2 linked regions of the Saccharomyces cerevisiae S288C genome follow. The protein of the gene in region 1 interacts with the protein of each later gene in a pairwise test. Each region holds a gene or a part of one and is shown on either strand. Other genes may lie near its edges.

Region 1 (16,428 bases):
CGCAAGCTTTAGGTTCTGCAACACAGGATCAATTACAAACCATTGATGAAGACATGGCCATTGATGATGATAGGGAGGAGCAAGAAGTGGACCAGAAAGAGTTAGTAGAAGACGCCGATGATGAAAAAATGGATATTGATGAAGAAGAGATGCTATCTGATATCGACGCGCATGACGCTAACAATGACGTTGACAGCAAAAAGTCAGGATTCATCGGTAAAAGAAAGAGTGAGGAAGATTTTGAGAACGAACTTTCAAATGAACACTTCTCGGCTGATCAAGAGGATGACAGTGAAATACAATCTTTAATTGAAAACATTGAGGATAATCCACCTGATGCAAGTGCTAGTTTGACACCGGAAAGATCGTTAGAAGAATCCCGTGAATTGTGGCATAAAAGTGAAATTTCGACCGCCGATTTAGTATCACGTCTTGGAGAACAATTAAGACTAATCTTGGAACCTACCTTGGCTACAAAGCTGAAGGGTGATTACAAAACAGGTAAGAGACTGAATATGAAACGGATCATTCCATATATTGCCTCACAATTCCGTAAAGATAAAATCTGGTTGAGAAGAACTAAACCAAGCAAACGTCAGTATCAAATAATGATTGCGCTTGATGATTCTAAGTCTATGAGCGAATCTAAATGCGTTAAACTCGCTTTTGATAGTTTATGCTTGGTCTCCAAGACGTTAACTCAGCTAGAGGCTGGAGGGTTATCTATTGTCAAATTCGGTGAAAATATTAAAGAAGTTCACTCATTTGACCAACAATTTAGTAACGAATCTGGCGCAAGAGCTTTTCAATGGTTTGGTTTCCAAGAAACTAAAACAGACGTTAAGAAACTTGTGGCTGAATCTACTAAAATTTTTGAACGTGCTCGCGCTATGGTACATAATGACCAATGGCAACTAGAAATTGTAATCTCTGATGGTATTTGCGAAGACCATGAAACAATACAAAAACTGGTCCGCCGTGCTAGAGAAAACAAAATTATGCTGGTTTTTGTCATCATAGATGGTATTACTTCTAATGAATCCATCTTAGACATGAGCCAAGTGAACTACATTCCAGATCAGTATGGCAATCCGCAATTAAAGATTACCAAATACTTGGACACATTTCCTTTTGAATTTTATGTTGTTGTACACGATATAAGCGAACTACCCGAAATGCTTTCACTGATTTTGCGTCAATACTTTACAGACCTGGCATCCAGCTAAGTATATCGTGAAAACCAAGAAGAGGAGGTTTACTACACGAATCAAAGGAACAAAAAAATCATGGAACTGAAAAAAAAAAAAAAAAACTACTGTAAAAAACTACTGTAAACTATAAATTATTAATTAGACTGAACGTATACCTATATAAACCTGATATAAAAATGATTCAAGTTATTAGTCCTTTGCATTTTCTGTTAGCAATCCTTTGTCAATTAGCCCTAAGAAATATTATTCCCATATGGGTAACCAACTCTCTTTTTTTTTTTTTTTGAAGGGATCAATACTTCAGTCAGATATTTAAAGAGAAAAATTTTCTTCAAGATGCAAGTTTCCCATTCAGTTCTATAGGAAGTTAAAACAAAAGAGCTGTTTGAGAGCTCGTAGGCTTTGGTTGTTAAGAGAACGGACTAAATAACACCAGGAGGTGTGTCTAGACTTAGTTGAACGAGTTTTTTCTCGTGCTATTATATCTGTTCTTAATACTTCCACTTTATTTTAATGATGATAGCATGATTTATGTTGCTCGAAGTTAATCGATGTGAGCACAATGATTTCTCAAGACTACAACGGTATCTGAATTTTATTTCTTGTCAAAAATGTTTTATAGAAGCCACTCTTGCTATAGATTTATATTGCCACACATAACTTTTTCACGTAAATTTGAAAGAGCTATATTAGCTGGTGCTTTCACTAACATCTCTTTGCTCTAGTATTTCATTTCGGTGCATAAAACATTTGAACTTCCATCGAAATTCAATATGCTAAAACGTTTCATTGTAACACGACGCTGAAAAGACAATAAGTACGAAGGACTCAAGAAGGAGCATGTCTAAAGGGAGGGTCAATCAGAAGCGTTACAAGTATCCTCTTCCAATTCACCCCGTAGATGACCTTCCAGAGTTAATCCTTCATAATCCGTTATCTTGGCTATATTGGGCATACCGCTATTACAAGAGTACGAACGCACTGAACGATAAAGTACATGTAGATTTTATAGGAGATACCACTCTTCACATCACGGTTCAAGATGACAAGCAAATGCTATATCTTTGGAATAATGGATTTTTTGGCACTGGTCAATTTAGCAGGAGTGAGCCTACATGGAAAGCTAGAACAGAGGCCAGACTGGGTCTCAATGATACTCCCCTCCACAATCGGGGAGGAACAAAGAGTAATACTGAAACGGAGATGACTTTAGAGAAGGTCACACAACAGAGGAGATTACAAAGATTAGAGTTCAAGAAAGAACGTGCGAAGTTAGAAAGAGAATTACTAGAATTAAGAAAAAAAGGTGGTCATATCGATGAGGAAAACATCCTCCTTGAGAAACAACGAGAATCATTAAGAAAATTTAAACTAAAACAAACAGAAGACGTGGGCATCGTTGCACAACAGCAAGACATTTCCGAATCAAATTTAAGAGATGAAGACAACAATCTTCTTGATGAGAACGGTGATCTTTTGCCACTAGAGTCACTAGAACTAATGCCAGTGGAAGCTATGTTTTTAACTTTTGCACTTCCTGTTCTTGACATATCTCCCGCGTGCCTGGCAGGGAAACTGTTTCAATTCGATGCCAAATATAAAGATATTCACTCCTTTGTCAGATCATACGTTATATACCATCACTACAGATCACACGGTTGGTGCGTAAGATCTGGTATAAAATTCGGCTGCGATTATTTATTATATAAGAGAGGGCCACCATTTCAACACGCTGAATTTTGTGTTATGGGTCTTGACCACGACGTCTCTAAAGATTATACGTGGTATTCTAGCATAGCCCGTGTTGTGGGCGGCGCAAAGAAGACGTTTGTGTTATGCTACGTGGAGAGACTAATCTCGGAACAGGAGGCGATAGCACTATGGAAATCAAACAACTTTACTAAATTGTTCAATAGTTTTCAAGTTGGTGAAGTATTGTATAAGAGATGGGTTCCCGGAAGAAATAGAGACTAGAATATCAATGAGAAGATAAATCCTTCGTATGTATATATGTATGTGTATGTATTTTTTATACAGATTTCAATGGTTTTTGTAAGCATCTGATACCCATCCACAATCCCTAAACCCCTTGTTCTTTGCTTTGGGGCCCTTGACAGGGTCATCATATATTGCTCTAAACTTTTCATTGTGTGTGGCTGGTTTGGATATGCAAACAAATTTATTATCAGGAAGGACACATTTCAACTGAGATTTAGGGAAGGGACAAGGACAGTCTTTCTGCTGTGCAACGCACGTTAGGGTGTCCGGACACAAATACCCATCACAAGGGTTATTTAAAACTTGATCTTCATATGATTGTTGCTGTTGCTGTTGCTGTTGCTGATGATGACCGAAATTGAAGAAGGCATTCACTCCAGTGCTGCCAAAAATAAACAATGCAAAGATGAGAACGATACTCCAGCGACTTTGACTCATACTACAGTAAAATTTGGTCGTTTTTTGCCTGGCAAACCATGCCTATTTTTCGTCATTAAAGGTCTTCTGAGCTTTCATCAAAATTATCTCTATAATTATAAAGGACAGCTCAGAGCCACACCCAAACATCTGCAAAGGTAAAGGCCATCTTTCATCTCACATTGCCTAACAAGAAAGTCACATTGCAATTGTTTCGAGAAGAAAACATTAATTCAATTACGTGGTTCCCATGCGTCTGTGTTAAGCGTCAATTTATCATTTGACGAACTCGTTGCAACCACAAACAAAGCAAGGGCCGCATTTATCAAAGGAAAACCAACCAAAAGCATAAATAAACGAGATTTTTATTATGAAAAAGCCATGCGAATCCTACTAGAATAAATTCAAAGTGAAGACATTTAGTCAATTCGATCTTCTCTCTCTTGCTTTAACTAGTCGTAAAACCTAATAAGTTTCATTCACGACGCGTATTTTTTTTTCAACATATCATCTAACGCGTTTTAAGAAATTTCAGTAAATAATGAAGCTGTAGTAATGCCAACAATCCATTGTGGCTACTTTATACAACGCACTATAGAGCAATAAAAGTGTAGCAATAAACACTAGAGAGAAGGCACATAATAACAAGAATATACTCTCGCACATGTATTATGGAATCAGCCAGTTTAGCGAAGCCTACAACAAAATCTTAAGGAATTCATCGTCTCATTCATCATGTCAATTGGTCATTTTCGTTTCTTGTCTTAACATCGATGCGCTGTGTGCGACGAAGATGTTGTCACTATTATTCAAAAAACAATTGGTACAATCTCAAATAGTACCGATATTTGGGTACTCTGAATTACGACGCCACTATTCTCAATTGGATGACAATATAAATAGTCTGCTATTAGTAGGGTTTGGAGGCGTTATTGATCTGGAGGCTTTCTTAGAAATCGATCCCCAAGAGTATGTTATCGATACAGATGAAAAGTCGGGGGAACAAAGTTTCAGGAGAGACATCTACGTGTTGGATGCTCATAGACCGTGGAATCTCGACAATATATTTGGATCACAAATCATCCAATGTTTTGACGACGGTACGGTGGATGACACATTAGGCGAACAAAAAGAAGCATACTATAAATTGCTTGAACTGGACGAGGAGAGTGGTGACGATGAGCTCTCAGGTGACGAGAACGATAATAATGGGGGTGACGATGAGGCAACTGATGCCGATGAAGTCACAGACGAGGACGAAGAAGACGAAGATGAGACAATATCTAATAAAAGAGGTAATTCTTCAATAGGACCGAATGATCTCTCAAAAAGAAAGCAACGAAAGAAGCAAATCCATGAATATGAAGGTGTTTTGGAGGAATACTATTCTCAAGGCACAACAGTGGTTAACTCGATATCTGCACAAATCTATTCATTATTGTCTGCTATCGGAGAAACAAATCTTTCAAACCTGTGGTTGAATATACTTGGTACGACCTCGTTAGATATAGCATATGCTCAAGTTTACAATCGATTATACCCCTTATTGCAAGATGAAGTGAAGCGTCTCACACCAAGCAGTAGAAACTCAGTAAAGACCCCTGATACATTGACGTTAAACATCCAACCGGATTACTACCTTTTCTTACTGAGGCATTCTTCATTGTACGACAGTTTTTATTATTCTAACTATGTCAATGCCAAACTATCCCTATGGAATGAAAATGGGAAAAAGAGATTGCATAAGATGTTTGCTAGAATGGGTATACCATTAAGTACTGCACAAGAAACATGGTTATACATGGATCATTCTATTAAGAGAGAACTTGGGATAATATTTGACAAAAATTTGGATCGTTATGGGTTGCAAGATATAATTAGAGATGGGTTTGTTAGAACTCTTGGATATCGTGGGTCCATAAGTGCCAGTGAATTTGTCGAAGCACTAACAGCTCTTTTGGAAGTAGGTAATTCAACTGATAAGGATAGTGTGAAAATAAATAATGACAATAATGACGATACAGATGGAGAGGAAGAAGAAGATAACAGCGCTCAAAAATTGACGAATTTGAGAAAAAGATGGGTTTCGAATTTTTGGCTCAGTTGGGATGCTCTAGATGACAGAAAGGTGGAACTATTAAACCGTGGCATTCAACTAGCACAAGACTTACAGAGAGCAATTTTTAATACCGGGGTTGCTATATTGGAGAAGAAATTAATCAAGCATTTAAGAATTTATAGATTATGCGTCTTACAAGACGGACCCGATTTAGACTTGTACAGAAACCCATTGACGTTATTAAGATTAGGAAATTGGCTCATAGAATGCTGTGCGGAATCTGAAGACAAGCAATTGTTGCCCATGGTGCTTGCCAGCATAGATGAAAATACGGACACTTACTTGGTTGCTGGGTTAACACCTAGGTATCCTCGCGGACTAGACACGATACACACAAAAAAACCTATTTTGAATAATTTCAGCATGGCGTTTCAACAAATAACTGCAGAAACGGATGCTAAAGTGAGAATAGATAATTTTGAAAGTTCCATAATTGAAATACGTCGTGAAGATCTTTCACCATTCCTGGAGAAGCTGACCTTGAGTGGATTGTTATAATCAAATTTATATTATTTAGTCGTACATATATACCAGCATATGAATATAAAATCTAAGCTTTTTCAAGCTTTTAAGTCCAACTTTTCTATAATAATACCATATTTTGTGCGCGGCTCTTGACAAAACAAAAAAAAAAACCTAAATAAAAGGAAATTAAGAACAGGGAACTAGGTTTGGAAGGACAAATTCAGGAAGGAAAGAAATAGCTGTGACAAAGTAAGATGAACCAAAATGGTGATAAGAACGAAGGCAAGTTGTTTCAACTACCGTCATTGCCGCCCTGGAAAACACCAAGGTTCAACAAAGCCAACTTTAACAATTTTACCACACCGCTACGGAAAAGGTCGACAAGGGTAATAAATGATGATTCGATGCCCATAACAGGCGAAGTACTAGAGGAGAGGACTGCAGATGATCTCTATGGGATAAATATGGACGTAGACGAAGTCGACTATCTGAATACTTTGAGCCACATCGAGGAAGAAAAGCAATACGATTATTCACCGTTTTGTGAGCGCAATACGCTAAGGGAAAGTAGAATTGACAGTTTTTTGAAAGCCGAAAGGGCAGCACATTGTCTTGTGTTTCATAAGGTGGGCCATCTAGACGGCATAGACAGCTATCGACCCGATATTGACATCATGTGCGGCGAAGAGGCTAATAAATATGACAGTGCGAATCCGGAGGGCAATGGTTCAATGTTGTTAGAGAGTGTACCTGGATGCAACAAAGAAGACCTGGAGAGGTTATCAAGGCGAGAATTTGTAACAAATTCGAAACCTAATATGAGACGGTTGGATGACATAATAAATCATGAAACGAACGCCTTAAAAAGTTTCTGGAACGACTCAGGATTAGTCAATTCACTCCAAAGTCATCATTTGCATGAAGAGTACCTTCTTTTGCAAGAAGAATTAAAGAATGTGTACAAGATTAAATGCCATGACAGAGTGCCAATAGAAAGTCTACGCGATAAGTGCAGAAGACACTATAGCAACGAGGATAGTTCGTTTCTCTGACAGAGGCAATGCCTTTTTTGCTTCACGTGTATATATATCAGTTGATATGCGTTTTCTATACAGACATACATGTATATACACACATATATATATATACATATGTACGCAGAGATATATTAAATGGGGGTTCTAGTTTCAACAATTTGATCTTTCAGTTTCTCGTCCCATTCCAGTTTCTTCTTCTGTATATAAGCGAAGACATCAGACATTCCAGTAGGGTCTATTTCCTGCGTCTTGATATATGGCATACCATCCCTAGAGGTAGCAGAACCGTATTTTACGTCTTGTTTCTCAAAGTTTGGATTGGCCAATCTAGTTACGTATACTGGGGCATTGGCAGCTTTATAACCATCAATATTGTGCCATGGAGACCCCAACAGCCTGGCCAAATAGAACAAGCATAGCATGCCGAAATAGGTGAAAAAATTCAAATATTCGGAGAAGGAATGGCTTGTAAATATGCCCGGTTGAACTACATACTGATTTATGCCCAGCTTTTTCAAGTCTTTGTAGGTGGCCAAATGCAGTAAATCAACTAAACGCTTGGAGCCCTCATAAGAGGCATTTGTCTTTAGTAGTTCAATATCGTTCAACGAAAGATACTTAGGATCGGACATAATACTCGAAATCCAAACAATATAAGCCTTTCCCCTGGTCAATTGAGGCAGAATTTTACTGATAAAGTAGTACGGACCAAACACATTGGCCTGGAAAATAAGCCCCATGTCATCTTTAGACTTGACGCCCACCAGTTGTATCTTGTATGTCGGATTTGTCACTGCCTCCAATGGATTGGTGAAAACCTCCTTGACCGCTCCGATCCAATCTATACCGTCAAAGATACCTTGCGCAGCATTCACGAAAAGGTAGTTTATCGCCCTGTACTTTTTGTTGATGTCGTAATATGCGTTCAAGACACTCACCATGTTGGTGAAGTCCACCAACAGATAATCAAAGTCTATTTCCAAATCCTCTACACGGCCTGATTTGTTGTAAAAATCTTTAATCTGGTTAATCACCTCCTGCACTCGAGGAAGCGTTCTAGAAGTCACCACAATGGTCAATCTGACATTGGTGTCCTCAGTTTCAATCAGACGGAACACAATGTTCAGACCAAGATTACTATTAGTACCCGTTACGATAGCTACTTTCCTGTTCATCCTATCCTCCTACTTTTTCTCTTTGCTACTTTTTTTCGACACAGATCATGTGCTTGTTTCTCGTCCTATCTTTTAAATACCTGCTCAATTCAAGATGCCGTTCTTTCGTTAAACGACCATAAATAAAGGCCCACGTACTATCGGAGATAAAACAACGGGTGTGCGAAAAGTGCCATTTATCTGTTATAACTGCTATATGCGGATACATAAACAACAAACACTTATACAAAGTGTTCAATGAACCTACTCCATAGAGTCTTGGCCATTCTCCTACCTATATACTTGCCCAGCAGGGGCAGCAGGACCCAGTTGAGCAGCTTGTTCAACTGTTGCAGCGACTCTTCCCATTGACGCTGTGCATCTGCGAGCTCGTTGCTGAGTGACGTGTCCTCGTCGCTGAGGTAACCATCTTCTTCCAGGCCCTCCACGCTGTTGATTGTGTCGATGCCCTGCAGGATCACAGAGGTATCCTCGCTATCTGCCATGTTCTAGTTATTGTTGCTCGTGCAGTGATGTGCTGTGGTGCTGGGGAGTGGTTTGCTCTGCCGATCTTGCTTGTAACGGCCGGCCGTTAAATGGGCCTTCGGGGTCCAAACGAGGCGCGGTTTCGTGAATCTTGCTTGGCTGTTTTTGGCTTGTTAATCCCAATTTGCGATAGTTTACGTTTCCACGGGGCACTGCTCAACGGGTTTAGTTCCGTGGAGCAGATGTGTTGCAGATACTAGTTGATATTTATGTTGATGTTGATCATTCTTGTGGCACAAAAGTATAAATAAAGCAGCGTGCTCTTTTTTGTACGTGGAGTAGTAGAAGTATATTCGCAGGTCTTTCTCTCATTGTTCAGGACATATACATACGTAAGCGTAGTTTTCTTCAGTAGAATGTGGACAAACACTTTCAAATGGTGCAGCAAAACTGAGAAGGAGACCACTACTGCAGACGCCAAGGTGTGTGCTAGCGTGCAGGGCCTGAAGGCCCTGCAGCAGCAAATTATGGATAGCACCACTGTGCGTGGGTCCGTTAATAACACGATGACTCCAGGCGGGATTAACCAGTGGCATTTCCACAATAAGCGTGCGAACAAAGTGTGCACGCCTACAGTACTAATCCATGGATACGCTGCCTCGTCGATGGCGTTCTACAGGACGTTTGAGAACCTGTCAGACAACATTAAAGATCTATATGCCATCGACTTGCCAGCCAATGGTGCCTCAGAGGCGCCAGCATTGCAAGTGAACAAAACCAAGAAGATCAAGTCTCTCAGGTTTAAGCATATAGAAGATGACGTAGTAATCCCTGTGATAGAGAAGCGCCCCCCAGCAGAGGACATCAAGTCACACCTGGAGCAGTACGAAAGCTACTTCGTAGACAGGATAGAGCAATGGCGGAAGGATAACAAGCTTCGCAAAATAAACGTGGTGGGCCATTCATTCGGAGGATATATTTCATTCAAATACGCCCTCAAGTACCCTGATTCCATTGAGAAACTGTGTCTCATATCTCCTCTTGGTGTGGAAAACAGTATACATGCTATCACCCACAAATGGGAGCCCAACACCACCTATCCACTTACGTTTACCGACCCATCGTCCCGATATTATACAAGAAAGCTGAACGTACCGCGGTTTATCTTTGAAAACCAGCTAAACGTTTTGAAGTGGATGGGACCCATAGGCTCCAAATTGTGCTCGAACTACATCTCCACCGCATACGTAAAAGTTCCGGATCAGATATATAAGGACTATCTTTTGCACTCATTTGTCGGGAAGAACCAGACGGTGCAACCACAGACAATCAAGGTGTTCACCCATTTGTTTGAAAGGAATCTGATCGCTAGAGATCCGATAATAAACAACGTTCGTTTTTTGAACCCAGCAACGCCTGTCATGTTCATGTATGGCGAGCACGATTGGATGGATAAATATGCGGGCTACTTGACTACTGAATCAATGCTAAAAAACAAGGCAAAGGCTAGCTACGTTGAAGTCCCTGATGCTGGCCATAATCTTTTCCTGGACAACCCGCAGCACTTTGCCTCTTCTTTAGTCTCGTTCCTGTCAAAGTAATGCCTATATAGAGTAGAGAAGAAAAATACAATATGGAAAACCACGCATATATATATATATATATATAAATACATACATATACATAATACATCACTTTACTTAACCGTATACAAGATAGAGCAACATATACATCAAGAGTGTAAACCTCTCATATGTGAGCGGATGTTCCGATCCATCCCGAACGAAACAAAGCAAAATCAACAAGTTGACATCGCCGTAAGTTTTCAAAAATAGCCCTTTTAAAACTCGAAGCTCTACACAATCGCAGCAATGATGTTGGAGCCTTCACCTCCACCTTTAACAACAACGGTAACACCCTCCCTTCCGTCCAGTTTAAAGAAATCTGTGACAGATAATGACCAGAATAATAACAACGTGCCCAGGAAGAGAAAACTAGCATGCCAGAATTGCCGTAGAAGAAGAAGGAAATGTAACATGGAAAAGCCTTGTTCAAACTGTATCAAGTTTCGTACCGAATGTGTATTCACTCAACAAGACTTAAGGAACAAAAGATATTCTACGACTTACGTAGAAGCTTTACAGAGCCAGATTCGGTCTTTGAAAGAACAGTTGCAAATATTAAGTTCCTCGTCTTCCACAATTGCTAGCAATGCTCTCTCCTCGTTAAAAAACAACAGTGATCATGGTGATGCTCCTAATGAAAAAATCTTAAAGTATGGCGAAACAGCACAATCAGCACTACCATCATCTGAAAGCAACGATGAGAATGAGTCTGATGCGTTCACCAAGAAAATGCCTTCCGAGAGCCCTCCACCAGTTGGCACAAATAGTATATATCCATCAAATTCCTTGTCTATAATAAAAAAGAAGACGGATGGAAGCACAAGATATCAGCAACAGCAGGTCAGCCTAAAAAATTTATCAAGAAGTCCCCTTATCTTAAGATCGTTGTCACTCTTTTTCAAATGGCTATACCCGGGACATTACCTTTTCATTCATAGAGAAACTTTCTTAAGTGCTTTCTTCGGTGATACTAACACTAAAAGTTACTATTGTTCCGAAGAATTGGTATTTGCAATCGCTGCATTGGGATCTTTGATTTCATACAAATCAGAAACTGAGCTTTTTCAACAATCTGAAGTGTTTTATCAAAGAGCCAAGACGATAGTACTCAAAAAAATTTTTCAACTGGAAGATTCTTCGTTAGCTGAATCGTCGTCCTCTTCGAAATTAGCAATCATCCAGACTCTATTGTGTTTGGCATTTTATGACATTGGAAGCGGAGAAAACCCCATGGCTTGGTATCTTTCTGGGCTGGCATTTAGGATTGCCCACGAAATCGGCCTACATTTGAATCCAGAAGCATGGAGTAATGTTTATGAAGACGAGCTGTCAATAATGGATTTTGAAGTGAGAAGTAGAATTTATTGGGGCTGCTACATTGCTGATCATTTAATAGCGATCCTCTTTGGAAGATCAACTTCCTTGCGTTTGTCCAATTCCACTGTTCCAGAAACAGACGAGCTACCTGAAATTGAGACTGGTATAGAGGAGTACATATATGACCCAAAAGTAATATTGTCCACTGCAAACCCCTTGAAGAAACTGATTGTGTTATCGAGAATAACGGAGATTTTTGCATCCAAGATTTTCAGCCCAAACGAAACTCTACTTCAAAGGAGTGAATACTTGGCCAAATTTAATCTGGAGGTATACAATTGGAGAAGGGATTTGCCCCCTGAACTACAATGGACCAAGAGGTCATTGATGGAAATGACAGATTTTAACCCAACCATAGCTTACGTATGGTTTCATTACTATATCGTGCTAATTTCCTATAATAAACCTTTCATATACGAAATCAAACAAAGCCGGGAATTGGTTGAAGGTTATGTTGATGAACTGTATTATCTTTTAAAAGTTTGGAAAAATAAATTTAAGACGTTTGAGAAGGCCACAATTTACATGATTTATTCTGCGATTTTAGCCATCCAATGCATGAAGTCCAACTTGATTAAAAAGGATAGAAAACAAGACTTCTTAAATTTTTTAAGTGCGCCTACCCTGAATTACGAACTTGCTAGAAAATTCATAGAAAACTCTGAAGATGCTTTGCATAATTCAGAAACTATGGATTTATTAGGGACTCTATCTCACGGTAACGATTTTGCCTTAGAGTACAATTTTGACTTTACTTTATTGAATGAGATTGATATGCTGATTGGTGGAAACACCAATGATGGTTTGTCGAAGTAATCTTGAGTGAAGAGGATATGTTTACTTGAACAAATATTCTTTATGTAATGTGTTTGTAGCCTTTTTATTTGGGAAGGAATATACCGCTATCCTTTCCCACCTCCGAACTTATCGATTCGGAATTTTAAAGAGCCTTCCAAATGACAAAAAAAAGGATTGTAGTTCCTAGATAGCGAAATCGACTGAGCAAGATAAAAGCAAACATTCCCCATCATCTTTGGCGACGACACATGTGTTCCATAAGCTAAACTCAAGGAGCAAATGATAGTAGATTATGAAAAGGACCCTAGGGCTAAAGAGGCTATTGCTATTTGGGAAAAAGGTGTACTGAAAGAGAAGGATGGGTCAATGTCAGATGCTATAAACTTCTATCGAAGTGCATTGAAAATCCATGATAATGTGGAATCACTGTACAGAAAAAAAATACTTGATGAGTGGATGCTGCACAAAAAACTATCGGGATTATCAATGACTACTGATGCTCCAGATGAACAAAATGAAACCGGTAAAGATGACTTATCTGTTGAAGAAAATGCTGAACTTCAACCCTGCTGGATTCTGGAAATCTTGCCTGACGACATTTTACTGAGAATTATTAAAAAAGTTATATTAATGTCTGGTGAATCTTGGGTGAATTTGTCGATGACTTGTTCCACCTTTAGCAAGCTTTGCTTCCACGATTCTGTGCCATTTAAAACTTTCGCGAAGTACATATATTCTAAGCAAATATACGACAAAATGGCAATGGATCTTAACGGAATCACCGATATAAATACCTTTGAAAAGGAAATATGGCGGGGTGATGATTATCGTATGTTAAGGGAAAGGCCATATATTAAATTCGAAGGTGTTTACATCAGTGTAGTAAATTATGTAAGATACGGTTCCAATGCAGAAAGTTCGTTATCTCTTTTAAAGCCAGTTCACATGATCACCTATTACAGGTATTTCAGATTTTATGAGAACGGCCAATGTTTGAGATTACTTTCTACAGATGAACCTAGCGCTGTCGTGAAGCACTTCTCCAAAGAGAACAAACCCAGGCATAGTCATATGTGTTATTGGAGCCTCGGATTTGATTATGATTTTGGTCATTTAAAGATAACAAGGTCAGATGAAAAGTATACGTTTATCGAAGAATTCCAAATCAAGAATCAAGGCAATAAGAGATATCAACGGTTGAAATGGCTAAGTTCAATTGTAGTGGATAAGGAAGGGAATGCATCTAACTGTTCGTTGAGAAATGAGAAATCTTTTTTCTTCTCCAGAGTGAAATCTTTCAAGGATCCTGGATGACATCGATGTTTTTTGCAGTTGTTTTACTTTATTTATTATTCTTATAGATTTATGTAGAACTATTATTTCATCATATGAAAGATTAAAGAAAGCAGATCTCAGCTTAAATAAATTATACTATAATATTAAAAAAAGATAAATATTAGATAATAAAAATTGAAAGACACACGTTGAAATATTTAGTAAGAACAACGTATCTATAGGTTTAATTCTTTTAAAATATACGATGCCAATTCTTTATATAGCCACGTATTACCAGAAACCTTTTTGAAATGTACACCTGCTAGGCCGACGATACGAACCTTTACAATGTGAATCTCAAATTTAATAGGAGGCCTTTCTTTTATACCAGAAGTATTGGTTTGCTCTGTTTGACCATTTACGTTATTTATATTTTGGGCTCTTGATGTTGTTAAAATATCATCCTGTTGTTGAACATAATCTAATGACATGGAAGATAGTTCCCCTGATGTACCATTACTTTGGTTTCCGTAGTTTGGAGACATTGGGATAGATGAATTTCTTTGATGTGTATTGGTCGCTAAAGGTGTTAGTGGTATATTATTCTGGCCCCTCTTATAAGAACCTTGGCGTTTTATCGAACTATTTCTTGATGCTGAGGACGCTGTACTATGGTAACTGGATGATAATTGACTGTCTAAACTATTTTGCAGATCCATCGCCTTTCCGGAATCCAAACCCACGCCAGTAGTGGTTATAACAGGGACAGCTGCAGTCTCAATAGATGGCCTTTGTTGGACACATATGAACCCGCCTTTCACTTCTTTGAAATCAATATTCATTCTTGTTAAAACAGATATGATATTGTGACGAACAATAGGCAATGGTTTAGAGGAGGTTGTTTGTACAGAGAAAAAACCCTTCAAAAACATTGACTTTGGATAATCAATTGATGGCATAGACCCGGGGGGTGCCTTTGAAGCTTCCTCCAAAATTTGCTTCTCAGTAAGCTCCTGAGAATACACCGAAGTCAGTCTATTGTTAGTATCGTTACTGTATGTGGTAGAATCTTCAGGAACGGTCGAAAAGTTACTGCTAACAGGATTGTATCTCTCCTTGTTTGCCTCTCCCAAAAAGCCGTTATCGTTTGTCATATCTGATGGCGGAAGGGCTGCTGGTATAGGCGGCCTAGTAAATTTCAAAGATTCACGACGAGCATGCCCCACCGATTTAGCCCTTGCACTAGGATGTAACTTACGACCCTTCGGAACGGAGAGATAATGGTCACTATTATCATTATTGATACCATCGACTACAGCGTTCACATTGTTGTTATCATTATCATTAATTTGTAATTTGTCGAGATTTTCCTGTAATAGTTTTTGCCGTTGTTTTTGAACAATTAGTTCGGCGTTCTGAGGTAAAGCTGGAAGATCACTGTTTTGCTTTTGTGATACTGACCTTATAGGAGGTGCTATGGTAGTGTTTTTAGCGGGTTTCTGTTTTACATCAACAGAATTTGGCACGTAAGATGGATATCTTCTAGCGCTAGGAATATAATCTGATATAGTACGACTATGGCTTTTCGGTACTTTGATGGAAATTTCATTTGATTTTGACATATATGTTGGAGGTTCTCTTTCTGGAAGAGGTTCCTGTTGCCGTGTGGGATGCTGAGATTGTCCACTTTGTGATATTCTTCTGAATATGCCGCCTATTGTATTCTTTTCCTGATGTTCACCTACTACGGGTGAAGCAGAACGTTGCTGATATTCGCCAGACACGGGGACTGGTGTTGATTTCAAAACACCATTTAATTCCGTATGAATGTCGGAACTCTTCCTAGATGTTGGAGAAGTATGCGCTTGTTCCGGTATTGTTAGTTTAGGAGGAACCATTACATGCAGTGGAGGTTTGTTTGAGGTATTAGTGTTGTTTGAGGTTCCCGATGTTCCAATTGCCGGCACTTGAAAAATACCAGGATTAGGTACTACTTCTTTCTGAGGGCTCCTCATTTTGGTCATAATATCCGGGGAGTTATTATTTAAGGCGACCTTAGTGCCAAGTGCTACTTGTTGCTGTTGTTGCCTTTGCTGAGCTTGCGCTTGCAGGGCCAATGCTTGCCTTCTTTGCAACTTCGCTAATTTCCGTGCAACCATTTCTGAAACCAAGTGATATATTGATAGTAATGGATGATATGCTAAAGTAGGATCTTCAAAATTACTATCTGGTTCATTATAACCACTTTGCGATGGATTACTTGTAATATGATTTTGTATTAAGGTTTGTTGTGCCGTTGAATTTAGGTAGTTATTATTTAAACTTGAACTCAACCCCTTGGCGTTGGATAATTTGTCCCAGTATTCTTGGGAAAGTTGGATGTATTCCTTTTCAGTTACTAATCGGATCAATGATCTTCTTGTATCTTCAATATCGTCAATAAATTCTAGGCGATACATTTCCTTC
Region 2 (16,974 bases), on another chromosome or scaffold:
GTTTGGTTGTATTCGTGTAGGTGCGAGAGTCTTTCTTCTCATCACTCGGATTTCTCCTATAAGTAGATTTATTACGTTTTGATTCCTGTTGTTCTTCATACATAGAATGTATGTCTGAAAACAGATCAGCAACTGTCATATGTATATATCGATGACGTGCGTAGCGTAAAAATTTGTACTCGCCAGATAGACCTCTCATAATGAATTGGCATGCTACCTTGTTATTGATAGGAATGCCATTGTTGTTTAGTCTGTCAAGAATGTTTGTGACTTCTGCTTCAAATGCATCTGCAGGTGTGCTTCCATTATAATGCAAAGTTGCTAGGGTCGTAATGTCATTTACCTCTTGAGTATCAGATTGCATTTTGTTAATGCTTTTGGAAAGAATTTTCATGATATCTGTATAATCAGCAGATAAGATGTCTTTAACCCAGGTGGGTAAGAATTGAGATGGAGCAAATAGTTGAAAGGTGTGACATAAGAAGGTGAGTTCGTCATCAGTCATCTGACGTACGGCTTTTCTTGTTGCTGTCGGAATAATATCACCGAGATTCGAATTTTGTAAAAATTTGATGTATGTTTTAACCCAATTTAGAAAGTCATTAGGTGAGGTTAACATTGGTGGTGGTCTGACATATTTTTTAGTGGATGTCATATCAGAGTCCGCTGAGGATGAATCAGTAAATGTATTACCTGACTCAGGTGATGGAGTGCTCAGAGGCGTTCCAACTGATGATGGATACTGCGGAAACTGTGAATGTGGCCCAGGTGGAAAGTACATAGGCGACATTTGATAAGGTGTATACGGAATCATAGATGGGCGTCCGTAAAATGACCAACCAGATGGATTGGCTTGGTTTTGGGTCATCATGCACTGCTGTTGGTACGGCCCATTCTGTGGTGAATGTGACTGAGCAGTTTGAGGAGAGGCATGATGGGGGTTCTCTGGAACAGCTGATGAAGCAGGTGTTGTTGTCTGTTGAGAGTTAGCCTTAGTGGAAGCCTTATCATATTCTTGAATTTTGGAAGCTGAAACGTCTAACGGATCTTGATTTGTGTGGACTTCCTTAGAAGTAACCGAAGCACAGGCGCTACCATGAGAAATGGGTGAATGTTGAGATAATTGTTGGGATTCCATTGTTGATAAAGGCTATAATATTAGGTATACAGAATATACTAGAAGTTCTCCTCGAGGATATAGGAATCCTCAAAATGGAATCTATATTTCTACATACTAATATTACGATTATTCCTCATTCCGTTTTATATGTTTCATTATCCTATTACATTATCAATCCTTGCACTTCAGCTTCCTCTAACCTCGATGACAGCTTCTCATAACTTATGTCATCATCTTAACACCGTATATGATAATATATTGATAATATAACTATTAGTTGATAGACGATAGTGGATTTTTATTCCAACAGTGTTAAAGATCTATTAGTTGATCATGTTGGAATAAAAATCCACTATCGTCTATCCAAACAATTCTCTCAAAATTCGCCCAATTCTCAAAATTCACCCATTTCCCACACATATGTGTTTTAGGAACGTTTAGGATAAGGAATCGTCATACTGACGTACCTCATTTTGAGATACAACAAATCATATATTATAAGACTCCATGGCCAAGTTGGTTAAGGCGTGCGACTGTTAATCGCAAGATCGTGAGTTCAACCCTCACTGGGGTCGTTTATTTTTTTTGTATTTGTGCTTATTTACTAAATAACCATTTCACCCTGTTATAATAATGCTTAAAAGAAGAATGTAGTTTTTCTCTTTTCCTTTAACTGCTTTACTTCTCCCGAAAAAGCAAGATGCAATCTTTTAATATGTTTGAGTTTGCTTAAAGTATATTCACAAAAAAGAAAATAAAAGTTAAAAATTTCTGAAAATCAGGACCTTATTCGATAGTTGGTCATAAATTGACTGAAAAATAGAATAATTTCGGACACCAAATGAATCATTAACAAGACAATATCTTAAGGTATGTACAAGTGAGAATATTACTTATATATAAAACGGTTAACAATTTTTTAGTGGTCCAAAGCCTTGATGTTCATGACTTTAGAATTAGACACAACTGGCACCCAATCCTTCTCTGGAGACAGTTCTTCTAGCTCTATTTCTAATGAGCTCTTTTTTACATTCTGTTTTAAAAAGTGTCTAGAACCCTTATTTTGAGCTTCTTTGATATCTTGTAAGAGTTTATCTTTTTCCATTACTAGGTAACCTCTTTTCTCTTCTTTACTATAGAAATCAATATCCCTTCTTTTCGTGGGTCTAGCCTGTAGTGGTACTCTTCCCCTCTTCTCAAGAAACCACTGGGGGTTGAGATGTGCCCTTAGACCCAACGGTGTGTAGTAACGAGCTGTAAACTTACCTCCTGCTTTTTCAATAGCCGCAATAGCCTTAGCGGATGCTCTAGAAGCCTCCAAAGCAATCGGTAGATTGTAGTGGAACTTTCCGCTGGCTAGAATTTTAACTCCGTACTTTATGGGACCAGTTACCAGACCAAGCTTTCTCATCTTATTCATGTCTAAAACCTCGCCTGGTTGCAAATGAAGCCTATTTTTATCATGAAACCATTGAATGCGTTTCAAGTTTAATTCCTTTAATGGTTTGGCGCCAACGTTGGTAAATCCAATTTTAGGAAATAGCTTGTAAATTGGAGTTTGACCACCTTCAAACCACGATTTTACTTTACCACGCGCCTTTTGACCCTTTTGACCACGCCCTGATGTCTTACCTAAACCGCTGGAAGGACCACGCCCAAGTCTTTTGAAAGACTTTGTAGAACCATCTGACGGTTTCAATTGTCCCAAAATCGAAACATAACGATAACTTTGAAATGCTAATACCGGCGATTTGAATAAACCTCGGAAAAAAATATCGTTACCAGCTACGCTAGTTAACATCATGGACGGAACAAAAGTGTTTATTAGTTTGCGACCGATTACGGTTGTAAAACTATTTCTTAATCCTGTTTGCCTTTCCGCTTTCATCAACTTCTAAAGGTCATGAGCTTTAATTTTACGCACTGCGTTTAGTGCAGTTACCTGGAGTTTCAGCCGGGTAAGAAAACTATACGATTGCCAAATAGAAAAACGGATATAAAGATAGTAGCTGTGAATAGTAGCTTTGTATAGTACATAAAGGTACCTTATCTAACATTGCTTGCGACGCAGAATACGCAAAATATACTGTTTAATTGCAATCAGGAGTTTGCTACGGTATTTGGTATAATCGGAACTCATATTGTCCTACGTTCACCGAGACCAATGAACGCACAATAAAATGGATACTTGGAATGCCCTACCCAAAATATGAGCTGCGTTTGTTTTGTGAAAAACGAAAAGTAATTAAGTTGTTTTGCAGAAGTGTGAATAATTGGGGGACGCCATTTGGTTTCTCTCTTCTGATTGATTAAAGTTAATTTCGGCACAATAACCCAATGACTGGCTAGGAAACTTCTCGATGCATCCGTGATCTCCCAAGGACGAAATGGTTTTTATCACGTCCTAACGACATCATATGTCCTCGAGGAGAACTTCTAGTATAGTATTTATTAACAATGGAATCCCAACAATCATCAAATTATTCACCAAATATACACAGATTCTTATACTAACTAAAGTAAGAAGATTAGGATTTCCATACTCATTTTGTTAAGTAGCACTTGTATATCCGGTTTTCTCAAGTTCTGAGCTTCTATGGCCAAGTTGGTAAGGCGCCACACTAGTAATGTGGAGATCATCGGTTCAAATCCGATTGGAAGCATATTATTTTTATTCTACGGTAAACATGCCTGATGGTGATTTGAGACAGACCCCATTGCCTCAGATTTGTGAAGAATAGAAAATGTGTACATTCATTTTGATAAACTATACATATACTTAACTTTTTAACATGATAAATCAATATTGATATGGTCGGTACTGTTCACTTTATCTATATTTTTTTTCTTTCGTGCAATAATCGTCGGCTTTAATAATATTATACATACAAAGGGAAAATGAAGGAAAGAAATATGAAAGGATGAATAAGTCTTTGATATGAATATGTAGTGTTGGTATCTAAACCTAGTCAGCGCAAAGAACTATTATTGGAATCCTTTGCATCATCGTAATCATCATCACCATCTGAGACATTACTCCCAATATTTGAACTCACATTATCGGGGTTGACAATGTGTAGTTGTCTTTCTTCCATCATATCGGGCAGCGAAGTAGCACTGAACCTTTGGTTCCCGTTATAGATCGAAGGAGGCTCCTCGTACACTACCGAGGGAAAGTGACTTCTTTTGCTGATATTATGTGCATCACCAGTAATAATAGAATCTCTGCCGCCCGGCGCCCTTGTCGGCAGATCATAAGTGGCAAAAGTAGACGCTGTATTCTTGGACAATGCTGTATTATTCCTAGAGGGTATGTGCCAGTTAGTGCTCGAAGCAGACGGTGGAATAACAGGGTTAGCGTCAGCATCACCCAGTGAGTACGGCTGGTACTGCTTTGTCTCTTCCAAGTCCACATGCTGAGAAGATTGGCGACGTTTTTTCCATACGAAAAAGAATAACGCCAGAGCCAACAAGGCAACTGTACCACAAACCACACCTACTACGACACCTGCGATGGCGCCACCACTCAAGCCTTTGCTCTTGGACGAGCTCGATTTCCCGTTTAAGAGAGAACTAGTAGAGGAGGACGTAGACGATACTGTTGCATAAACAGAGGTCCTGGTGGTAAAGATCGTGCTTGCTTGTTGGTTAGCTTGAGAAACCACGGACTGCGTCACCACACGGGTAGTGTAATGCGTGGAAGTACCTATTGAAGTCGATGAGGGGGTAGAAGTGACCGTTGCTGTCGAAGTTGAGGATGAGGTCGATGTGGTGGATGAAGAAGTTGCCTGCGTAGAGGACGTTTCTGAACTGGAAGAGGCAGAAGTGCTAGAGGAAGTGGTGGAAGGAGAAGAAGAAGTAGAAGTAGTACTAGAGGTAGTAGAAGTAGTAGAAGTAGTAGACGTAGAAGAGGAAGAGGATGAAGAAGAGGAGGAAGTAGTTGTCTCTGAAGAGGAAGTGGTAGTGGAGGTTGTAGACGAGGAAGAGGATGAGTGCGTAGCAGAAGAACTAGTTGAAGTTTTCGTGTCCAATTTCGTGGACGTTTTTGAACTAACACTTGTGCTTGATGAAGATGTTGTCGATGTTGAGGTAGCAGTAGATGAAGTTGAGTCCGCGGTAGAAGCAGCGTTATTGATATAAACGTTCATGGCAGAAGAACCACCACAATTTTGGTAGGGCCAGCCAGCACACGAAACATCACATTTGCTCGAATCTACCTGCGTCAAAGACTGTAACTGAGCTACGGAACCACCACAGTAGCAACCTGTACCGTTGAAAAGAGCAACGACAGCCTGACCAGGGCATTCATTTTGACAGTAGGAAACTGATTGATACTCGTAAACACCCTTGTAAGTCAACCCCAATTTTCGTATATCACTAGCTGAATAGCAAGCTTTATATGTGAATTGGTCAGCCAACGCGGCTCGTATATATATGAGCCACACTAAGATGAAGGACTTGTGTATGAGATCTAGGTGCATATTCCACTTCTATAATGCTGTTGGTCAAAAAGAAATTCAAAGAAGAAACAATTAGAAACCAGAAAGTCTGTAAAAATACAAAAAAGCGTGTCCTATAACCGAACAGCAATGTTTGTTTTCACTAGATTTGTTTTCTTTTGGCGAAAAACGAAGGTAGAAATGAAAGTAAAAAAAGAGCAATAATGGTAAATCAAAGGCTAGCCACGCTTTGAGCTATAGTTGGTCGTGCTGAGCAATAGTAAAGAATTGAAAAAGCGAGTGGATGATTTGAAAACTGCTTATATGTTTTACGTTGAGGGTTTCTCCTCTTTATTTCTTCGAAGGACGGAGGACAGGTATAAAGCAGTCGCTGGAACTCTTTTCCCTGACAATCTTAAAAAGAAAGACCGAAACAGAGTGTTATAAAACGAAACAAAAAACCTGCTGTAAATGCACTTCTGGGAGAAGTGCTAGATCACAACATACAAACATATGCAAATTCATAGTAAAAGGAGATAGGGCCCAGATGACCAAATCAAGAATGGCTCACTGTTGAAACATTCTGCTTAATGTCGAAACAGTCCGTAAACAAACACATTCCCACAAAACACCGCACCGCGAAAAAAAAAAAAAACAGGAAAAAACGCGAAATGTCCGTAACTTTACCCGGTAATAGTCACGTGATAAAGGTGCATTGGTCTAGCTGGCTGTTCTGGCCAACGCGACAGCAGGGTTCATACTTTCAGTAGAACAAAAATCGGGGGAAATGCGATGCACTCTTTAACTGCAATTATGCACATCCTATTGCCAGGGCGGATATTTGATGTTGTTCTCAGATATGTATTCCCTGATCTATACCGTTCTCATAGTTCAATTTTCTCTGATTTTCTCGTGCGGGCAATAAGTAAAAAATAGCATTTGCGTGCTTAAGTGAAATTTTTCAGATTATGAGTGATATAGAGATGAGGACTGTAACAAGAAGGAAGGTGAGGAAATCAAGACGGTAAGTAGCATGTCCGGGTCGTTAAAATCTCTAGACAAGAAAATAGCTAAAAGAAGGCAGGTGTATAAGCCCGTGCTAGACAATCCGTTCACAAACGAAGCACATATGTGGCCGCGCGTGCATGATCAGCCATTGATTTGGCAGCTGCTGCAATCCTCTATCATAAATAAGTTGATTCACATTCAATCGAAGGAGAACTACCCTTGGGAGCTGTATACAGATTTCAATGAAATTGTGCAGTATTTGAGCGGCGCTCACGGAAACAGCGACCCAGTATGTCTATTTGTGTGCAATAAGGACCCTGATGTACCGCTTGTGCTCTTGCAGCAAATCCCGCTATTATGCTATATGGCGCCCATGACGGTTAAACTGGTGCAGTTGCCCAAGAGTGCCATGGATACCTTCAAGTCGGTTTCTAAATATGGAATGCTGCTGCTGCGGTGCGACGATAGGGTCGACAAGAAATTCGTATCGCAGATCCAGAAGAACGTTGATCTGCTTCAGTTTCCCTGGTTAAATGCTATCAAGTATCGGCCCACATCTGTCAAGCTGTTGAAAACTACAGTGCCAATTGTCTCGAAGAAGAGGCAAAAGTAGACAAAATTACCCGCGCAGGCCTATTTTTCTAGAAGACAGAAGAAAAAAGTGGGCAGAGAAAGCGAGGAAAAAAAGAAATACATATGAAGAAGAAAAAAGCTGAAATTTAAGCAAATACTTTTTGGACAAAATCATCAAACTACTACTAAAGTTTGAAACGATCGGAAAGTTACAACACATTTACGATAAAATATGGTTGTCTTGAATCCAAATAACTGGCATTGGGTGGATAAAAACACCTTACCTTGGTCTAAGGACTACTTGAACGGTAAATTAACGAGTTTGTCCACTGTTTCCTCTGATGGGAAGAGCAAAATTGAGTTAACCCAGGTGAGTAGCATCACCGGTGACTCCAACGTATCTCAAAGGAAGGGCAAGCCGATTTGCTACTTTGACTTACAGTTGTCGATGAACGTCAAAGTGACAAATTTGGATACTAATAAGGACGACGAGGATGATGACGGCATACTTGCGGACGGGAAACTAGAAATTCCAGAGTTTATGCATGACGAGTCTGATATTCCGATTTTGTCGCAAGGGTTTGATGCTTTTGATGGATTGGTTAGGTCTGAATTTGTCCCTAAAGTAGTGGAAACGCTACTAAAATACCAAGATGACTTGATTAAAGAACACTCAAAGGATATACAAGTTTGATGTGTTCATGTAACGAAAAGGGGAGCGTTGCATAGATAGACCACCGCCCCTTTTAATTTTTCCAGCGTTTTCAATTGTTATTCTTCTTCTTCCTCATACTCACCCAATACATAACATGTATACACACATACATAGATAATGAAGAAAATAGCAGTGGTAGAAAAACTTAATAAACATATGGAATGATCTTGTAAGGAACTTTTCTTTCGTATTCTTCCCAATTTTCGCCATATTTCAGGCGGCACTTGTGCTCATCACGTTGTTGACGGTGTAATAACAACGTGGCGAAGTACAACGAGTAGTAATATGTCAAGGGAGTTTGGAACCAGGTGGCCAAACACCAACTTAATGAAATCAGCCAATCGCCAAAGTAATTGATATGCTGTGATTTAGCCCACCACCCGTCACATAATAACTTTGTACCACGCTTTGTCTGAATACTTTTTAGATTTTCTAATTTACCTTGTCTAAACTCAGATTTTTGCTTATTTGCCGAGTGGAAGATGTGGAAACCCAAAAACATTATGGCTAATATACCGACAACTTTCACCCATCCCAATTCCACAGGGGAAACACTCAAGTAACGCGCTTGTAATGAGTAGGTGAATGGAACTAAACTTAAGTCACCAAACGCTAGCATGAAACCAAACCCATCTGTAGTGATATCCATCATGGTTAATACACCTTCCTCGTTTAGTACTCCATCGAAAATGTAAAATCCTTGCAAGAAATTAACCAAGACCAATGCATCGTTGATTTTACCAGTCTTCAGGTAATGGTGATGCAGACAGGAAAGATTGATCAGTAACCATAACAACATGCCGGGTCTCAACTCTGAAAACATCTTGATATCTAATGGGCCGAGACGAGGGTTCAGTTCTCTACCAATAAACCAATCGTAAATGATGTTTCCTGAATTTCCACCTAGTGCTAAGATCTTTTCCCTTTTGCCATTACCATTTTTCTTGAAGATCAATGGTATGAAGCTGGCAACATAGCAGTACGTCGCCAAAAAGAACGAAAACAAAATAGATATTATGCATAAACTAACGTGATTTTCATACAGATATTGCAATTCAGGCAATTGTCCATCAGTCAATTTCCATCTGATAGCCAAAACTAAGACCAAAGTTGTAGACATGGCAATTCCATTGATCTTATACGAAAGCTTCGAACCATCCCTTAACTGAACACCCTTCATGACTCTGCCCGGTAAAATGACGTCCAAAACTGCCAGTATTCCATACCACAGGCAATAGACAGTCCATAATTCACGATTGCCCAGATAGTAGCGCAATGGCTTGATACCGTTCCAAAGCTCAACTATATCGAAATTCTGGAAAAATCCCTTAATAAAATAATCGGGCCTTATCATTTGATTCAAGATGATAGTGAAAACAGGCAGCCCTATGCTGATGCCTAAGGCACCAATCAGCCCACCAAATTCAAACTCTGTAGTTCTGGGATTCAAAGCTGATACCATCCTTTTATTCTCTACACCGAATTTGTCTTTACTCCTATGCTGTTTACAAGGTCTATCTGATAAGCAATTGCGCAAGAAAATAGTAGAATGAAAACTGATTATTAAAAACAAACGTAAACTCAAGCCTCACTTGATGCTCAGACGGAGTACGTGAAAAACGTCCGTTATGCAAAACCCTTTATATGCACAACCTTCACACAATGCAAATTTCCGATGATGCCTACATACAAAAGAGCGAAAGGCGATATAAATTTTTTTCACGGGATTTTCGTTTAGGTGAAAATAAAATGAACGACAGAGCATGCAGAGTCCGGGTAATACATATGTTTCAATACTGTTTCAATACTGTTTCAGAAGTGCGTCACATATTAATTTTAACTTATAACTGGCCTGTTGCTGGCAAGAGGTATATATATATGACGAATGTGACCAACATAAGTCCTTAAGATAATCCCGAAATATTTGGTTAGGATGATTCCCTTTCGAATTTGTGAACGTTGATGATATGAGCGGTTTTAAATGCTATTTGCAATTGGGTGACAGGCTCTCTCAAATATGGCTAAATAAGTATACTTTGGTTTTGCTGCTAGCAATGCTGAAGCTTCTGTTTTTCTCCAAATCCATACAACATGCGATAGAAGTCTCGGAAACGTATATTTTGTCCAATTGTTACAGTATTGATTCACTATACTCCAAGATGACAGACAACACGCCGCACTATTTAGGTATCATGGGGAATTATCTTATCGAGAAGGGTATGGAGGAGACTGTTAAAGCTACGCTAGAGACGTTATCACTTATAGTATATGCGAGCGAGGGGCTGGTAAACTTTGCCATTGACCTGTATTTGGGCACTTATGCCTGTTTGATTGTTAGTGCCGTTGATGGTACCGTGGACGTTGCTACTAACATTACAGAAAAACTGATTAGCTTAGTCAATGATACAGTTTCAAGTGTGGCTAATGAATTGGATACGGGCTTGAATGACATCTCCAAAATAATCAATAAAGTGATCAAGGCCGCATCCAAAGTAGAGAATTTTTTCACAGGTGATGACGATGACAGTAACATGACGTCGTCAATCAAAAGCGTCAACTTAACCATATCTGCGCTTCACAATTTATACATTCCTTCCTCAATCAACGATAAGCTTGAAGAGTTATCGGCAAAGACGCCGGACTTTGCCCAGGTTAAGAATACAACCAAGAACCTGATCTCGGTTCCCTTCAATGAAGTTCGGAAGAATATCAAGGCCGTGAATGCCAGCAATATAATCGGAGATACCTCCGTTTTGTACGTACCTCCCGTGTCCCTTGACAACAGTACTGGGATTTGCTCATCCAATCAATCAGAAATTTTGGCCTTTTATTCCATCTTGGGACATGTCCTGAAAATAGCCACCGTAGTGTGCATTACCGTATTGATATGCTTCGCTGTTGGTGCGATGGCGCCCGTTGCATGGAATGAAATCAAGCTCTGGAGGCGCCTTTGCGGAATGAGAGACCATTACATGCTGAGCAGGCAAGATTCGTATACGTCCTTTTCCAGTGAAAACACGCACGAATTGAAAGATCCATTTAGAGATCCTCCTATACAAAATGGCCAATATGATGTCATTGCAAGCTATCAGCAGTGCTTTCAAACATGGAACACAAGAATAGCAGGCTGGATGACAAATCTTGTTACCTTTGGAAAATCACCAGAGAACATTGACCCAAAGACTAAACAAAAAATAGAATGGGTAGTGGCTTATATGACCTCCGAAAGAGCACTGTGTGTTCTTGGAATTGGACTTTTGGGAATTTTAGTGTGCATATGCCAATTTGTCATGATAGCACTGTTAAAACACAAGATAAGCCATTCATTGACTTCTAATGATGGTGACGGCGTTCAAAATTTGCTGAAGTCTAGCACTGCCGTCGATATAGAGAACCAAATGAGCCTTTGGAGCGTTCAGACTAATAAATATATAAATACTACGGAGACCAATATCAATCAGGAAGTATTCGGGTGGATAAACACGACAACACTTTCTGTGAACAATACAGTGGCCACCATGATCTCTGATATAGACACAACTTTAGCAGATGTATTCAATGGAACACTGCTATATAACCCAATGAAAACCGTGGTCGGATGTGCCATTGAAAATAAGCTCTACACAATAGAGAAGGCAATGACGTGGATTCACGACAAGGCTCAGCTGCATATCCCGAGAATTAATGGGACACAAATCAAGCAAGCTCTGGCAAAGCAAACCGACAACAGCACTATACCCACTGCAAGCTCCACTTCTGCCGCCACAGAAAACTTACTGGAGAACCTTGTGAATGATATGAGAGAAGGACTTTTAAAAATTCTCCGAGCTTACCACCGTATAACTCTGGGAGAACTCACGGTAGCCTTGGTCATTCTTGCGGTGTGGCTCGTACAATTGCCCATAGCTCTGGTAATTCTCCGATTACGTCTTCGCAAAGCCACCTTTGACTGATTAATTAGTTGATAGACTTTTTCCGTCATAACTCTATTTAATAATGATGACCAAAAAGAGGCTCGTTCGAATCATTTCGCGTTGAATTTGAAATTCGCGGAGGAAAAACACGCAAAGAGAATCGGAAACCTTATCGTCAAATCATTGCACCTTGCAATGGTGGGTAATGATACATCATCGCAGTAACAGTATTCATATATTCGTATAGTTAATAAGATCACTTTTCAGTTAGCTTATACAATAAAAGATATTACCTTTTGTATTGTTAGTTGCAACATCCTTTTTTTATAAACTTTGACAGGCGATATTACGTTTGTCACTTCGGTTTCCCCACACAAAGAACACGTTACTTGGCAAATTCAGCTCTTATGCGAATTTTTTCAGGTGACAACAAGGTAGTTGATTCCCTCGCCTCTAACCCTGGATTAATGAGTCCATCGAATTTTGGCGGTGACTTCGGTTCACGACTAAAAGTAAATGTAACATCAAAAAAGAAACTTAACGACTCATCACCAACTTCTCCCATGGAAAGTTCACCAGTTTCACCTGAGTTGGTGCCTATTCTAACACTGCTAAATGCACATACACATAGAAGATATCATGAAGGCGTGTTTTTGATTTTACAAGACCTTAACAACAATGGCACTCATGCAGCAAGGAAATGGAAGGACGTATATGGGGTACTGTTGGGTACTCAACTAGCCCTTTGGGACGCCAAGGAACTAGCAGAATTCACTGATCCGTCTTGTCCGGTCTCTGAAAAGAAACTGAAGGAAGTTGCTTCCAAACCCACTTATATCAATTTGACAGATGCTACACTAAGAACTTTGGATAACTCCGATAATATCGTAATGGAGTGTGGAAAAAACCTCACTAATGCATTGGTGGTTTCTACTACGCTGAAAAACCGATATTTCTTACAATTCGGTAACAAAGAGTCTTTCAACGCATGGAATTCTGCTATACGATTATGTTTATACGAATGTTCTTCGTTACAAGAGGCTTACACAGGCGCATTTATTTCAAGTAGAGGCGCAAAATTAGGTGATATCAGAATTCTCCTTACGAATAGAAAATATGATTACAAGGATTGGGTCAGCGTCAGATTCGGAGCAGGTATGCCGTGGAAGCGCTGCTATGCGGTAATCTCTCAATCTAGCAGTAAGAAAAAGGGTCATTTTGGTGAAATAAATCTTTATGAAAATGACAAGAAAGTGAAGAAAAACCATGCAATGGCTACTATTGTAGAGGCAAAGGCGCTTTATGCTGTTTACCCGTCCTCCCCTAAACTAATAGATTCCTCTACAATCATTAAAGTCGTAGGTTCTGTGAAATTTGAAAAAAAGGAGTCTGCTCAGGAAAAGGATGTCTTTATTATGCCCGAGAAGCATCAAGCTGTACCAAGTTATGACACTATAATAAGGTTTTTAATACCGGCTATGGATACTTTTAAACTATATGGAAGACCAGAGAAATTATTGTCAAGCAAGAACGACCCACATTCACTTTTGTTTGGTTTGCCAGTTTTGCCACATATATACTACTTGGAAGTGGAGGATTTACTTCCATTGACTAATTCTGTATCAAGCTTACACTGGTCGAATAACGAATGGAAGGAACATATCAGTGATATTTTACAAAGGAAAATAGCACAAGGCTACTGTGGGTGTAATTCTACTTCCAATATTACTTCTCCTCTACCTTCTCCTTTCCTTGGTTCAGCAGACTTATTTGAAAGGGCCGATGGTGTTTTATCACCGAAACTTTCTTACGGGTCTAAATCTTCTTCGAATAACAGCTCGAAGAACAGTTTGCCAAAGAGAGAGCGTGTAAAATTGTCATCTTCTTCTGAACAGGACCTTAATAACTCTGATAGTCCATCTATTAAACGTAAAAGTCCTCCACTAGTGATATCTGAAAGTCCACACAAAGTCCACACACCTACTGATGCATCCTTCAGAACAAGAGTGACAGAAGGTTCACCTTATGCGAAGCAAAGACATCCCAAGCCGTTTGCGTCATCTGTAAACGATTCACCATCAGACAGAGCCAAGTCGAGGACAGTTCCTTACAATAATAACGACAGGAAAGCGACCACTCCTGAGAAATTTGAAAGAGGAGAAACCTCTTGTGGTAAGAACGTGGACGAAAGTTTGGAAAAGGTCCGGAATATGAAGTTAGAAATTCCCGAGTCCAATTTTGACAAGTTCATGACAGACAAAAATCTGTTGTCTGTGGATTCTAAATGCTCTAATGAGAAGAAGCTCTCTGTGGAATCAGATTTGTCTGCAATCTACGAAAAATACTCCAATGGTCCCTTTGGTCACACTGAGGGTCTTAACGGATCTTCTGATGAAACTTACCTTCGTTTTCAACGGGCGTCAGTTCATTCAGAGAGCAACTACAATTCAAGAAAATCCTTTACACCAAGTGACTTTTCTAATGGCAATGAGGAAGAACATGCCGTTTTACAAGAATTAAATAGTTTAACCCAAAGAATTAATGAACTAGGCATGGAAAGTATAAATTCAAACTCCGATTCGGACAGAATAAACGGGTCATATTCACAAGTGGATTTTGGTAACAATAACGACGAGGACGATATGAACCTGTTCGACCCAGATTTTATGGCACAAGACCAATTGCGTGCTGAAGAAAGAGACTACAACAAGGATGATAGAACACCCTTAGCTAAGGTCCCTGCGGCCTTTCAATCAACTGGATTGGGCATAACCCCCGATGACGATATCGAGAGACAATACATAACGGAACACAGATCACGACATGAAGTGCCAAAGCGGTCTCCCGAGAAACCCTCCAACCCGCTGGAAATAGGTAACCCATACGCGAAACCTGGCACAAGGTTGAATACCACTCACACCCACAGCAAAACTGATCGTAGCATTACCCCTCAGAGGGGCCAGCCAGTCCCATCAGGCCAGCAGATTTCCTCCTACGTGCAGCCAGCAAACATTAATAGTCCTAACAAAATGTATGGTGCAAACAACTCGGCAATGGGTTCGCCCAGGAATCCAAAGACGAGAGCGCCACCAGGTCCATACAATCAGGGATGGAATAACCGCCCCTCGCCTTCAAATATTTACCAACGTCCTCATCCCTCAGATACACAACCACAAGCATATCATCTCCCCGGAAACCCATACTCAACGGGGAACAGGCCAAACATGCAAGCGCAATATCACCCGCAGCAGGTGCCCATGCCTATCCTGCAGCAGCCCAATCGCCCGTACCAACCTTATGCGATGAATACGCACATGGGCTCTCCTGGCGGATATGCTGGGGCAGCACCACCATTTCAGCCAGCTAACGTCAACTACAATACTAGGCCTCAGCAGCCATGGCCTACACCTAACTCACCATCCGCACACTACCGTCCGCCCCCTAACCTGAACCAGCCTCAAAACGGTAGTGCTGGTTACTATCGTCCGCCGGCACCACAATTGCAAAACTCCCAAGCCCGTCCACAAAAGAAGGACGGATTCTCACAGTTCATGCCATCTGCAACTACGAAGAACCCATATGCCCAGTAACTCGACCGACTGGTTGTAATTTTACAAAAAGAGAGACAATTAAGAAAAGAAACAAGCGCCAGGCTTCCGTATCCCAGTTTTTCATCTCACTTTCTGGGCACGATTGTAATAATACTTCATGATAATAACTAAACTATATAAGTAGTGTCTCATCCGTAAATATACATTTAGACAGATTCTTGTATTTTCTCCGGGCAATTTTTAACTTTTTTTCTGTTAGGGCACATGACACTTGCCTATTATGGACAGCCAGTAAAGATGTGCCATATATTGCCCCCTTTACGCTCTCTGCCAGTATTAGTGGGAAAAAAAAAACTGAAAAAAAAAAAATCGCAGACTACTAATAATCACGTGATATTTCTTTTCACTCTCTTCATAAAGTTGCTAAAAACACACAATCGAATGAGCCTCTGAGCAGTATAAATTGTACTTCAAAGCACTAGTCATGAAAAACGCTTACATTAGTTCAGTTTGTCAAGGTTATGCTATTACTTGTACTTATTTCTTGCTATTGTTAGTGGCTCCCCACATTGACGTATTTTCACGTGATGCGCCTCACTGCGGAAGGCGCCACACATTGCCTGCAAAAAATTGTGGATGCACTCATTTGATAGTAAACTAAGTCATGTTAATCGTTTGGATTTGGCACACACCCACAAATATACACATTACATATATATATATATTCAAAATACAGCTGCGTCCAATAGATGAGCTTCCGCTTCGTTGTACAACCTACCTGCTATCTTGTTCACGGATATTTCTTGCTTTTAATAAACAAAAGTAACTCTAGAACAGTCAAGTCTTCGATAATTTTTTTAGTCACAGGGTCCGTCTAAAGTTTCTCTTTATTTGGAATAATAGAAAAGAAAGAAAAAAACGTAGTATAAAAGGAATGTCGCATACTTTAAAATCGAAAACGCTCCAAGAGCTGGACATTGAGGAGATTAAGGAAACTAACCCATTGCTCAAACTAGTTCAAGGGCAGAGGATTGTTCAAGTTCCGGAACTAGTGCTTGAGTCTGGCGTGGTCATAAATAATTTCCCTATTGCTTATAAGACGTGGGGTACACTGAATGAAGCTGGTGATAATGTTCTGGTAATTTGTCATGCCTTGACTGGGTCCGCAGATGTTGCTGACTGGTGGGGCCCTCTTCTGGGTAACGACTTAGCATTCGACCCATCAAGGTTTTTTATCATATGTTTAAACTCTATGGGCTCTCCATATGGGTCTTTTTCGCCATTAACGATAAATGAGGAGACGGGCGTTAGATATGGACCCGAATTCCCATTATGTACTGTGCGCGATGACGTTAGAGCTCACAGAATTGTTCTGGATTCTCTGGGAGTAAAGTCAATAGCCTGTGTTATTGGTGGCTCTATGGGGGGGATGCTGAGTTTGGAATGGGCTGCCATGTATGGTAAGGAATATGTGAAGAATATGGTTGCTCTGGCGACATCAGCAAGACATTCTGCCTGGTGCATATCGTGGTCTGAGGCTCAAAGACAATCGATTTACTCAGATCCCAACTACTTGGACGGGTACTATCCGGTAGAGGAGCAACCTGTGGCCGGACTATCGGCTGCACGTATGTCTGCATTGTTGACGTACAGG

What was found.
Region 2: the proteins of ERG27 (region 1) and ERG24 interact in a protein complementation assay, tested with the Saccharomyces cerevisiae proteins (one study listed by BioGRID).

What each region holds. Positions count from the first base shown.
Region 1 is NC_001144.5:333,804-350,231, reverse strand, and holds ERG27 (3-keto-steroid reductase), read right to left. Parts: upstream 8,423-16,428; coding exon 7,379-8,422; downstream 1-7,378. Other genes in the region: REA1 (AAA family ATPase midasin), read left to right, coding at 1-1,226; tRNA splicing endonuclease subunit SEN2, read left to right, coding at 2,052-3,185; LCL2 (Lcl2p), read right to left, coding at 3,252-3,647; DNA replication initiation factor CDC45, read left to right, coding at 4,291-6,243; APC9 (anaphase promoting complex subunit 9), read left to right, coding at 6,465-7,262; MIM2 (Mim2p), read right to left, coding at 8,644-8,907; lysophosphatidic acid acyltransferase ICT1, read left to right, coding at 9,304-10,488; CHA4 (Cha4p), read left to right, coding at 10,759-12,705; SCF ubiquitin ligase complex subunit HRT3, read left to right, coding at 12,967-14,001; serine/threonine protein kinase KIN2, read right to left, coding at 14,199-16,428. UniProt on the Saccharomyces cerevisiae protein: 3-keto-steroid reductase; part of the third module of ergosterol biosynthesis pathway that includes the late steps of the pathway. ERG27 is a catalytic component of the C-4 demethylation complex that catalyze the reduction of the keto group on the C-3.
Region 2 is NC_001146.8:101,095-118,068, forward strand, and holds ERG24 (delta(14)-sterol reductase), read right to left. Parts: upstream 9,318-16,974; coding exon 8,001-9,317; downstream 1-8,000. Other genes in the region: YNL284C-A (gag protein), read right to left, coding at 1-1,138; mitochondrial 54S ribosomal protein uL15m MRPL10, read right to left, coding at 2,040-3,008; WSC2 (Wsc2p), read right to left, coding at 4,090-5,601; POP3 (Pop3p), read left to right, coding at 6,593-7,180; HCH1 (Hch1p), read left to right, coding at 7,373-7,834; pheromone-regulated protein PRM1, read left to right, coding at 9,823-11,808; CAF120 (Caf120p), read left to right, coding at 12,177-15,359; YNL277W-A (uncharacterized protein), read left to right, coding at 15,585-15,773; MET2 (homoserine O-acetyltransferase), read left to right, coding at 16,255-16,974. UniProt on the Saccharomyces cerevisiae protein: Delta(14)-sterol reductase; part of the third module of ergosterol biosynthesis pathway that includes the late steps of the pathway. ERG24 reduces the C14=C15 double bond of 4,4-dimethyl-cholesta-8,14,24-trienol to produce 4,4-dimethyl-cholesta-8,24-dienol.